Linked DNA regions of Canis lupus familiaris. The protein of the gene in region 1 binds, or shares a complex with, the protein of each later gene. Links are inferred from orthologs where the notes say so. Each region holds a gene or a part of one and is shown on either strand. Other genes may lie near its edges. The genes, in order: RGS7, GNB5 and GPR158.

The links.
Region 2: the proteins of RGS7 (region 1) and GNB5 are in contact, whole or in part, in a cryo-EM structure (PDB 7EWP), measured with the Homo sapiens proteins. The link is inferred for Canis lupus familiaris from reciprocal best matches to the Homo sapiens genes RGS7 and GNB5. Residues at the interface, in NP_001351815.1 of Homo sapiens: Pro19, Leu22, Val23, Lys26, Val30, Ile72, Val76, Glu77, His80, Leu81, Leu84, His88, Val207, Asp213, Ile214, Lys215, Lys216, Leu258, Gln261, Ile262, Trp265, Gln266, Gln268, Leu269, Arg271, His272, Arg273, Leu274, Lys275, Met276; in NP_057278.2 of Homo sapiens: Leu57, Glu60, Ala61, Glu62, Leu64, Lys65, Leu68, Glu71, Lys74, Leu75, His76, Asp77, Val78, Glu79, Leu80, Val83, Leu90, Phe93, Arg98, Arg99, Leu109, Lys117, Arg118, Ser134, Phe135, Trp149, Met151, Leu167, Tyr197, Ser206.
Region 3: the proteins of RGS7 (region 1) and GPR158 are in contact, whole or in part, in a cryo-EM structure (PDB 7SHF), measured with the Homo sapiens proteins. The link is inferred for Canis lupus familiaris from reciprocal best matches to the Homo sapiens genes RGS7 and GPR158. Residues at the interface, in NP_001351815.1 of Homo sapiens: Gln35, Ile43, Ser55, Arg109, Phe110, Thr112, Pro113, Tyr114, Phe115, Lys134, Thr136, Lys140, Ala141, Arg142, Leu143, Leu145, Ala146, Asp147, Ala150, Leu153, Gln157, Trp164, Phe168, Met169, Gln170, Glu172, Ala173, Gln174, Lys176, Val177; in NP_065803.2 of Homo sapiens: Leu507, Lys508, Phe510, Leu511, Arg513, Thr514, Tyr595, Tyr598, Ala599, Thr602, Val603, Pro604, Ile714, Arg715, Leu718, Lys719, Tyr722, Leu725, Glu726, Tyr728, Lys729, Arg730, Met733, Ile734, Thr735, Asn736, Asn737.

The regions. Positions count from the first base shown.
Region 1 is NC_049228.1:32,252,016-32,255,664, reverse strand, and holds part of RGS7 (regulator of G-protein signaling 7), read left to right. Parts: intron 1-1,085; coding exon 1,086-1,272; intron 1,273-1,498; exon of another isoform or gene 1,499-1,812; intron 1,813-3,649. UniProt on the Homo sapiens protein: GTPase activator component of the RGS7-GNB5 complex that regulates G protein-coupled receptor signaling cascades.
Region 2 is NC_049251.1:18,167,302-18,170,950, forward strand, and holds part of GNB5 (guanine nucleotide-binding protein subunit beta-5), read right to left. Parts: intron 2,413-3,649; exon of another isoform or gene 2,394-2,412; intron 2,073-2,393; exon of another isoform or gene 1,979-2,072; coding exon 1,867-1,978; intron 18-1,866; exon of another isoform or gene 1-17. UniProt on the Homo sapiens protein: Enhances GTPase-activating protein (GAP) activity of regulator of G protein signaling (RGS) proteins, such as RGS7 and RGS9, hence involved in the termination of the signaling initiated by the G protein coupled receptors (GPCRs) by accelerating the GTP hydrolysis on the G-alpha subunits, thereby promoting their inactivation.
Region 3 is NC_049223.1:5,811,844-5,815,492, reverse strand, and holds part of GPR158 (probable G-protein coupled receptor 158), read left to right. Parts: intron 1-2,770; coding exon 2,771-3,009; intron 3,010-3,649. UniProt on the Homo sapiens protein: Metabotropic receptor for glycine that controls synapse formation and function in the brain. Acts as an atypical G-protein coupled receptor that recruits and regulates the RGS7-GNB5 complex instead of activating G proteins.

The DNA.
Region 1 (3,649 bases):
CATGTACCTCTCTTAAGACTCTATAGCCTACAGTGCCCTTCATCTTTGTGGCCATTTTCTCATTTTGTGCATGACTACATCTGCCATTAGAGCAATAATTGATGATGTTGAGGATAACATAGACCTAGTAGTTTCTCTTTTCAGGTACTTTTTCATTTTAACAAATTATAATGATATACATATTCATCTTTTCAACATTATTTCTAGTTCTAACCAAAACATATAACTTAGAGCAAAATTTAAAGAAATTAAACCCATTAATACAATGTGGCCCTTTATTATTAGACTTTTCTATTTGCTCTTATCAACCAAAATATGTTCTAGTGTTCTTTGCTTACAGTATATATATATTTTGTATATATATTCTATGCAGAAGTATATAAAATATATTTATATATTTAGAAATAACTCAGTATATATTTGTTTTTTTCAGAGCTTCTGAATTGCTATGATGTCTCCACAAATTTAAACCTTTCAAACAATGGCATGGGAAAGCTTGTTGCTTCTGTCATTTCATAACTCTCTGAATTAAATAGCCTAAAATTAGTTACTTACCCTGATTTCTCCAGCTAGGGCCTTTTCTGATCTTGTATCCAGTCCTCTTTTAATTCCAGTAAAGCTTCACTGTAATTCTTTTGCCAGATAGAGCAGAAAATCCTTTCCATAGGATTTTCTCATTGCTCAAATGGACAAAAGATCCAAAGAATACAGTATAATGCCCTACTTCATCCCCCCAAGCAGATGCTCTATGTCACCCACCCTAATTCCCTTCAAACTCCTCTCCCTTTCTAAATGATTCTTTAGCAGTGCCATTTTGCTCTACTAAAAATTAAAGTATAAGAATCAGGGCTCTGGGAGAACTGGTTTTAACAGCAAACACTTAAAAGAGATTGTTTTCAACATTTCCTTTTGAAAAATTTATATATTTGAATACAACTAATGAAGAAAAGGCCATCTATGGGAAGCCCTCAGAAAAAAAGGAACTCATTATTATGCATTATCGTGAATAGTATGATCAGTCAATATGTTAGAATTTGCAGATTATGAGGCGTCACAGTAAGTGATTGGTGTTTCATTTTGCATAGATTCTGGCTAGCAGTGGAGGACCTGAAGAAAAGGCCTATTAGAGAAGTCCCTTCCCGAGTTCAAGAAATATGGCAAGAATTTCTGGCTCCAGGAGCCCCCAGTGCCATTAACTTGGATTCTAAGAGCTACGATAAAACAACACAGAATGTGAAGGAGCCTGGACGATACACATTTGAAGATGCTCAGGTTGGTATATGGGTGGGCCTCACCACCGTAAGTCACAGATGTGCTCCTGGGAAGTTAACATTTGACATACTTTTGCTTTATTTTCATTTAATTGGCGACTAGGCTTAATATTTTCAATTTAGATAACTATATGTAAATAACTCCAATTGACTTAAAAGAGAACAGACACGTTAAAAAGAACAGTTACTAGAGCCTGAGAATGCTTTGTAAATTTGAATGTTTTTACCTGAATATTCCTTAAAGGGGAATGGTTGAAATATTGGAACAATTTTACTTCATTTTCTACTTTGTCACTCAGTATGTTAGAAAACACTTATCTAATGGTGGTCCCACCTCAGTAGCACATATTTGAAATCTTAAGTTGTCTTCCAATGTGGAGATTTTAAGTTTCTGGCATTCTTAAATTATTCATTATGATGACTTATCAGAACTAAACTAAGTAGCTTAGAGTTATGTCACACTCAAGCCAGTTTTGTCTCTGATGATACAATAAAATGATAGATTTAGGCATGTATGAATTTTCCAAGTTATCTTTTTAATCTGTGAAAAGAAAAAAAAGGAAATTTATGTTAGATGTTAATTTCCTTAGTGTTTTTTTTTTCTCAAACTGGACATAATTGCCTCTTTAGACATAATCTGAATTTCTATTTTCTCTAAAAAATTGTGCTCAAGAAGAACAATAAACTTGAAATGAGAGGATATTATTTTCCTAATGATATGCTGAAATTGGCTTTTAAATCAGACCATTCATACTTCTTAATTTCTTAAACCTCTTCTGGAGAAGAATATTAGTTCTAGAAAGTATTTGGTTTTGCAAATAACAACATTACTAATATAAAATATAGAAGATGAAAAATAAGATACACACATGCCCTTCCTTGTTTGCAGTCTCAGTGGAAAGTACATTTCTCCTGGCTTTGGTTAAAAGAAAAGAGCCATCGTATAGAAAACTAACAATAAGTAAGTAAGTGCTCAGATCTGCTTATTAGGCTGAAACAGCTAACCAGATACCCAGTCTCTCTGGCTCTGCCATGTCCTTCTATTTGGAAATAATTACAGATACACAGAAGAAAGAGCAGGATGAAAATTGTAGCCCTGTTGCTTACTTCTCTGTTGATTTATCTTTCTTTCAGTTCAAGATAAAATTTCAAACATTTTTCTAGAGCCAACAATGTATAAAATGTTTGGGTTAACCTTCCTAAAGTCCTAAAAGGAACATTTCTTTGTTATCTGTGGCATTAAAAATATTCTTGTTTATTAGGCGTTCAATAAAATGAAAAGGCATAGGGCACCTGGGTGGCTCTTGGTTAAGCATCTGCCTTCGGCTCAGGTCATGATCCCAGGGTCTTGGGATGGAGTCCTGCATCAGGCTCCCTGTTCAACAGGGAGTTTGCTTCTCCCTCGCCCTCAGCCCCTCCCCACCACTTGTGCTTGCTCTCTCTTTCTCTCTCTCTCTCTCTCTCTCAAATAAATAAATAAATAAAAATCTTTTTTAAAATGAAAAGGCATAATTTTCTACAGAAAACATTACCACCTGACCCTGTACTTCTTTTTCAGTTAAGTTCAGCTATTTAACTCCAGTTTTTGCTAGTTTTTTTTAAACCTCTTCTTCAAAAATATAGTAATAGAAATTCCTGGCATTATTTGAGAAAAGACCCAGTGTAATGGCTAAGAAAGCCATTTCTAGAGTCATCATTGGCTGAGTTCTAGTCAGAGCTCTGTTGTGTGTCCTCTTCTTCATATTTAAAATGGACATAATAATGGTTCCCAACCTCACTGAGGTTTTGTGAAGATTAAATTTACTAATATAGGCAAGCATTAGAAGTGTGACTGACATATATTCAAGCAGATCTGAGCACTTACTATGGATAACTCCCTTACTTTGCTAAACGTAAGGCCTTTGGGCCTCACAACAACCTTTTTTATGTATTAAAAAAATGAGAGTCAGAAAGATGAATAAATTGGCCTAAATGTATATGTCTGTAAGTGGCAGATCTTGAGCACAGTAAGATTTGAATCCCAAAAAGCTTGACTCCAAAATAGGACATCACCCCACTTTTCCAACAACAAATTCTGATAGGGTCCCAAATGTACCATACTCTTGGAGATGAGCCTTAGGCTAAATATTGAGCAAGAGTAAATCCAGATTATTGCCAGTATGTTTGAGATCAGGGAAATGAGTCATTTCCTAAAATATATATTTTCTGCAAACAGAGATTAGGACATCCAGGATACTCTCTGCATCTAACTGGTATTTCACTAGACTAGAAAGATGAAGGAGTTTTTATGCTCCATTGAGCTGCAGTGGGCGAGAGCAGAATCTACCTCGATTGGGCTAGCAGTGAATTGGATGAATACACTTTTTTCCTTGACTTCT
Region 2 (3,649 bases), on another chromosome or scaffold:
AGCATCATCGATAACATCTGCAGAATGTAGGAAATGGCAGAGTGAAATGAGGCAGGCTTTGTCCAGTGCCTCCCAATCTCTGTTCCATAATGCTTCCTGACAACGGAAAGCCAGCTTTATTTGGGGGTGACAATGTGTCCAGCTCACTTCTTTCTTTCCCAGCTTCATTGCAGTAGCTTTGTGACCTATTTCTGGCCAATAAAGTACAAAATCTGTTGGGAGAAAGGAGGTGATGGGGAAGACTTCTGCTTTTCTGATAAGAGGAAGAAACAGACGGGATGCGTGCGTGGCTCAGCAGTTGAACGTCTGCCTTTGGCTCAGGGAGTGATCCTGGGGTCAGGATCAAGTTCTGCATCAGGCTCTTTGCAGGAAACCTGCTTCTCTCCCTCTGCCTATGTTTCTGCTTCTCTCTCTCTCTCTCTCTCTCTCTCGCGCGTGCGCGCGAATAAATAAATAAAATATTTTAAAAAAGAAGGAGAAACAGGGGCTGGTGCCCATATTTCTCCTTCTTGTCCTGGATACAAAGGTTATATTTGGAGCTGTGGAGGTCATATCATAATCACAGGGCTAATGCCAATGTTCTCAGGGTGGTGGTGGAGAAAGACTCGAGCGTGAGTCCCTGATGGCATGCTGAGCAGCTGGACCAGAGCTGGTGATCACCTACACTTCTTCCTGTTATATAAGGAAAAGAACTCCCAATTTGCTTAGCTACTTTATTTGGGGTTTATAGTTAATTGTAGCTGGACACATCCCTAAATGATGTTGGGGTTTAGCACGTCTAATTTAAAGGAAGTCCCTACAAAGCACAGCACATTCTAGATTCAGGTCACCTGCTTCCATCAAGTGATTTTCAAAGAGAGGAGTCAGGCGTTAAAGGACCTAGCATGAACCCCATGTTTCTGCTCCAAATAGAATTTAAAAGGGGTGGCACCAAATAGGAATGGTAGGAGCACAATGCACAGGAGTGCCTGAGGGTACCATGGGGGAGGCTGTGCTCAGCAAACCGGGAGCTGCCACTCTCAGAGCTGAAAGATAAGCAGGTAAAAGCCACTTCCCCAAGTCTGGCCCTGAGCCCAAACTCTGCTGGGGACAAACCATCTGACAGTAAAGGAAAGCTGGTCCCACCAAGTCGTTTCACCTGTCTATTTAATTGCTCACTCATAAAAGTCACAGAGCGGTTTCTGAATGATCTAGTGGCCAATGAGTACGTTTATTTAAGACTGCTGTTGCTCTCTTCTGCCAATCGCACCCGCATCCATTCAAAAGCTTCTTAAATAGCCTTAAAGGAACGAAGTCATTGGATTTGGTAAAAGCTGCTCTGCTCTTCTTCCCTCATCCGGGTCTCCACCCCCAAGCCAAGAGGGCAGACTGGAAAAATGAGATTTTTTTTTTAACTGAGAGTCTGGCTCCTTGTAAAAGCAAAACTGAGAAAACACACACGACAGTGATGGAGAAAGCCCGCCCCCGCCGCCCCCGCCGCCGCGGTCGGTTCGCATCCTCCAGGCAGGGCAAGGGGCACAGGTCCCGAGGTCCCCAGGTGGGCGCCGCGGGTGGGGACAGCGGCCGCCAGGGGCCCACCCCCGCGCCCCCGCCCGGAGGCGGCGCGGCCTCGGCCAGCGGACCGGCCTGTGCAAGGCGTCCGGGCCTCCGGGGCCGCCGGGCTCGGGCCCCAGGGCCGCGGCCGCAGCCCTCGCCTCGCCCCGCGCCCTGAGCCGGGGGCCGGGAGCCGGGGCGGGGCCGGGGGCCGGGGCCGGGCGCCCCTCCGCGGCGGGCGCAGGCCCAGCTCCCGCCCCGGCCCGCTCCCCGGGGGCTCCTGGCTTCCTCGGCCGCCTCCCGGCGCGCAGCCCCCGCCCGGCCCGCACTCACGCTCCACGTCGTGCAGCTTGGCCCGCTCCTCCTCCAGCTTGCCCTTGAGGCTCTCGGCCTCGCTCTTCAGCGACGCCAGCGTCTGGTTCTCGTGCAGCCCGTCGGTTGCCATCTTCGCGCCGGGAAGCGGCGGGGAGGGAAGCGGGGACGCGGGTGAGCGGGCGCGCGGGCGGCGGAGGCCTGGCCGGCGAGCGGGCGGGAGCGGCCCCCGGCGCGGCTCCGGCTGCCTTCGCCCCGCCGCGGCCCCGCCCTCCGGCGCTGACGCGGGCGGTGCGAGCGGGGCCGCGGCGGCCGAACCCCCCCGCCGTGGGCCCCCCCGCCCTGCGCGCCCCCCGCGGCCCCGCGCCCCCGCCCGGGCACCTGCCGCGCGCGCCCGGCGCCGTGCCCAGGGCGATGCCCGCCGCCCCCCCTCGCGCGCCCCCCCCGCGCCCCCCGCGGCCCCCGCACCCCGCACCCCCGCCCGGCGCCGTGCCCAGGGCGATGCCCGCCGCCCCCCCCCCGCGCCCCCCGCGCCCCCGCCCGGGCACCTGCCGCGCGCGCCCGGCGCCGTGCCCAGGGCGATGCCCGCCGTGGCGCTGCTGCGCACCCCGCCCCGGGAAGCGGGGAGCGTCGTGCCCATTTCACCGGCGGGAGAGCCGAGGCGCAGAGGTGATGAGATGACCTGGCGGAGGACGCGCACGTACTGCCCGGCCCCCGGGAGCCGCTGAGGTCCCGGAGCGCGGCCTTCCTGGCGCCCGCGTCCCCGGCACCCGTCTCCGCTCAGGGGGACTTGGTAGGCTGCGGCGCGGCTGCTTCCTGCAGCGCAGAGAGCGGGGAGCGGGCAGCGAGGCCCAGGCCGCACCACGGATGGAGACCCGGCCTCGTCCTGGGAAGCCCCGGTGCTCCCCCCCAGCGAACCCGAAACTTGCCTCCCTGTGCGCTTACGTAGAAGTCCTGGTGCCAGGCACTGTTCCAAGCACTTTGCGTTAATAAATCACAACAGTCACCCTGAATGGATACTGTTATCCCCATTTCACAAATGAGGACACTGAGGCACAGAAGGGTTATATGATTTGCTTGAGTCACACTCCCAAGAAAGAGGTAAAGGTAGGATTTGGACCTAGACAATGTGGCTCCATTCAGCTACATGCCTGGCGACTTAAGTGTGGAGGAGCCAACGCATTGCTTCTCCCTTTTGCCTGTCCATGAGCTTGCATGTATGTGTGTATGTGTGTATGTGTGCATGTGTGCAAAATGGGAAGGTGGATTAAGGTTACAAACTCTAGAGCATGGGACGCCTGGGTAGCTCAGCGGTTAAGAGTCTGCTCTCTGCTCAGGACGTGATCCTGGAGTCCTGGGATCAAGTCCCGCTGGGCTCCCGGCGTGGAGCCTGCCTTTCTCTCTTTGCCTCTCTCTGTGTCTCTCATGAATAAATAAATAAAATCTTAAAAAAAAAAAAAAAAAAACTCTAGAGCAAACATTCCCAAACAGGATTTGGGGGTATGTCCTCACCCCTCCCTGCCTGAGGAATCCAGCTTCTACTTGCTGTCCTGGGCAGCTGTTTACCAAAGAAAAGTTGGAAGTAATCTGTATTAATCTATACATGGTCGTCTAGAGGTTAGATTCTGAGCTCAGTTTCCTTCGCTGGAAAATCTACTTCCTAGGGCTATTAGGAGAATTAAATAAGATCATGTGAATGAACTTTTTAGCAGCTTCTCCATCATAGCAGATACTATTAACTACCAGCTCCCCTTTCCCTTCCCATCAGTAGAAGTTCATTCATCAATTATTCTCAGTATTTAGC
Region 3 (3,649 bases), on another chromosome or scaffold:
CCTTTTTTATTTAGTCTGTTGTTTGTCTTAACCATGATCCCTTGTCCCAGGTGGCATCAAGCAGTTATTTGCATATTTATTTCTAGTTAGACTGTAAACTTCTAGGACTATATCTTATTCTTCCATGTTGCCCCGCATAATGCCCAGCATATGATTATCACTATATAAATATTTGCTCGTTATACTTATATTTCAGTTATTTATATATGATTGTCACTATATAAAAAGTCATTCATTATGCTTATGTATTCAGTGTCTAGTACTAAAGAATTCTCCTTTTTCTGCCTAGCCAAAATATAGAAGACCATAAAAATGGGCCAGATTTCCTCTTTTGAGTTCCTAGTCATTCAAAATTTAGAATTCATTCAGGTATACCCAGAGACAATTATGTGTACATAGTGGCTGCAAGTTTCTCCTGCAGAAAATAAAATTGACACTGGCAAAAAATAATAATAATGATAATAACGACAATTTTTTAAATGTCTCTTATTTCTAAGAGTTCTCTGAATTTTTTGATCTGCTAATTATAATAGAAGGCTTCTTATAGGGTTAATCATTGACCAATAAGTTGATTAACTTGTTTAAAGCAAAAAAGCATTAAAGAAGTGTATAAGAGGCTGTGACTTAAAACACACAAATAATCATTTACCAACTTTTTAAAAGATTTATTTATTTCAGGGAGAGGGGGAGGGAGAGAGAACATGAGTAAGGTCAGGGGCCAAAGGAAAGGAAGAGAAATTCTCCCACTGACTCTGAACTGAGCACAGAGACCCACACGAGGTTCAATCCCAGAACTCTGACATCATGACGTGAATCAAAATCAGGAGTCAGATGCTTAACTGACTGAGTCACCCACGTGCTCCTCACTTACCAATACTTTTGAGGAAAAACTTCTTTGACTATGGGTCAGGTATTTGGAGTGCATTATTCTCTTTCTAACATAAATTACTATAATCATTATTTACTGTTCAGTGTTGGTTCTTTAGATAAAAGTGTAAATCTAAATATTTTTAAAGTAATCTGAGTATAGACTTTCTAGATTCTTGTTTATTGACCACTCCAATAAACTAAAATTTCCTCATTTTCCCCTCAGTTAAAAGCCTATTTAATGACTTGCCGACATGGAGTCTTTCCAAAGCATTCGAGATAGATTATTTTATTTTATTTTATTTTATTTTGTTTTGTTTTATTTTTATTGGAGTTCAATTTGCCAACATATAGCATATCACCCAGTGCTCATCCTGTCAAGTGCCCCCCTCAGTGCCCATCACCCAGTCACCCCAAACCCTCGCCCACCTCCCTTTCCACTACCACTTGTTTGTTTCCCAGAGTTAGGAGTCTCTCTTGTTCTTTCTCCCTCACTGATATTTCCACTCATTTTCTCTCCTTATTTTATACAAATAAGTCTTTTTTTTACATCATGAGTAATTATTTTATTCGTAATTTAGTTAAATTATATAAGGTGATAACAATGGGCACGATTTGGGGACAAATACAACTGATTTCTTAACAAGTAGCAATTCCCCTGGTTGGAGCAAAAGCGTTTGAGGCACACTAGACAGAGCTAGCAAGTTAGCTGCCAGTACTAGCATTTACATGGCATGGGCAGTACTCAATATGTTTTACCTAGGGAATGGAGAATAGCCGTTAATCTGGTGAACTAGTAAAATGGTACTAGAGTAAAAAGAGCTACTATCCTCTTATTTTATACTAATATCTTTCTGACATTGTTCCACAGAAAAGTTAAGTGTAGGTATTTTATTCAGAATTAAATAACTTCACCCTTTGTGTTAGCTGAAGGACAATGGAGTTAAAGGTATAGGGAAGAAGGATAAATAAAAGTCTGCTGTAAAATAACTTTCTTTGTTGGATGTATTGTGTTGATTCAGGAAGAGCTACCAAAGGTCTATAGAGAGAAAAAAAAAAGTATAATACATCTAGGCTATTTCAAGTATGCATGTTTCATTTCCAATTTCATCCCGATCTTCTTCCTTAATATAGTGATCTTAATTCAGTTACCCTAGTATTTAAATACCTCTCTCATTGTTTTCATGTTTATTTCATTATTTTTTTTGGTAATGTGATAAAATAATTACAAAGGGAAATCAATTTGTATAATTTTCACGGGATGCCTGGGTGGCTCAGCCTTCGACCCAGACTGTGATCCTGGAGTCTGGGGATCGAGTCCCACATCAGGCTCCCTGCATGGAGCCTGCTTCTCCCTCTGCCTATGTCTCTGCCTTTGTCTCTCTTCTCTCTGTGTATCTCATGAATAAATAAATAAAATCTTTAAAAAAAATAATTTTCAGAAAATGCCTTTCATGTTATTCTATTGTAAAAAATTAACTGGTTCAGGGAAGTTTTTGGCTTAGTATAATAGTGTGAAATCTAGCTACTTATTTTCAAGACTAGTTTTGATCCCTTGGAAATCTTGTTTGAGCCAGTTTGCCTCTGGATCCTTTTTTTTTAAGATCTTGAGTATGTTCCCTAAAATATTAAGACACACTCAAAATAATTTCATCCTGTACAAATCTGTTGACTCACTGCCATCTAAAGTAGAATATCTGTTTTGCTATTGGAAGATAAAAACTAGAATGAAATTAAGTGAAAATAAAAGCAATACTGTTTCTAGGTTTTTTTTTTTTTTCATGTTAAAACTCTGCATAAGTAGGTTTTTGGTGGGCTTAAACTTCACCTAGAAGAATCAAATAATATGGAGTTTTTCTGAGTGCTAAGTTTGCCTTCACATTTTGATGTTTTGCTTTTCCAGGGTTTTGAAGGTGTTTCTTTCACGAACAGCCCAGCGGATTCCATATATGACTGGTGGACGGGTCATGAGGATGCTGGCAGTAATGCTCCTGGTAGTATTTTGGTTTCTTGTTGGCTGGACTTCGTCTGTTTGCCAGAATTTGGAGAGGCAGATTTCACTTATTGGCCAAGGGCAAACATCTGATCACCTCATCTTCAATATGTGCCTCATTGAGCGCTGGGATTACATGACAGCAGTTGGTATGTGGTCACTTATTTTGTGCGTTGTCTGGTCCTATTTCCTAAAATAGACTTCTTTAGAAGCCTTACCATACCCTTTTACAAAACTGAAAGGGATTTCACCTAATATGGTTTGGGTAAAACAATATCATGAAAAGGACAATGACATGTGAAATGCAGACTTTTTCTGAGTTTCCATTCTTTTTCAAAGGTATGTAGCTTTGTTGAGAAAATGTGGTCAAGTAAATTAGGAAGGAGAAATGCAGCAAATAAAAACAACTACTTCTTACAAAGAAAATTTCTGTTTTCCACCTTATCAGTGTATTCCCATTGTATTAACAATAGCTGTTTTCTTGATTTATTTCTTTAATTGGGAGGGGAAAAAAGGGAAACATACTAGTATTTTTTATATAGTTTAGGTCCTGTGATATTTCAGACTAGGGATGCAGGGCACATTTTGAGTAGAGATCTTCCCTGCAAAAATTTTAATTAATCTATGGCTCTTCTAAAGATAATTTATTAGGACTTCTCTGGAGGTCCAGTATTCCACAAAAATGAAGCCATGCTCCTTGGGGTTGGTGAGAGACTGTTCCATGCCTGAGAAACTGGAGAACTTGGAAGAACCACATGACATCTTAGGCCAGAAGCATAGGTTTTTCTG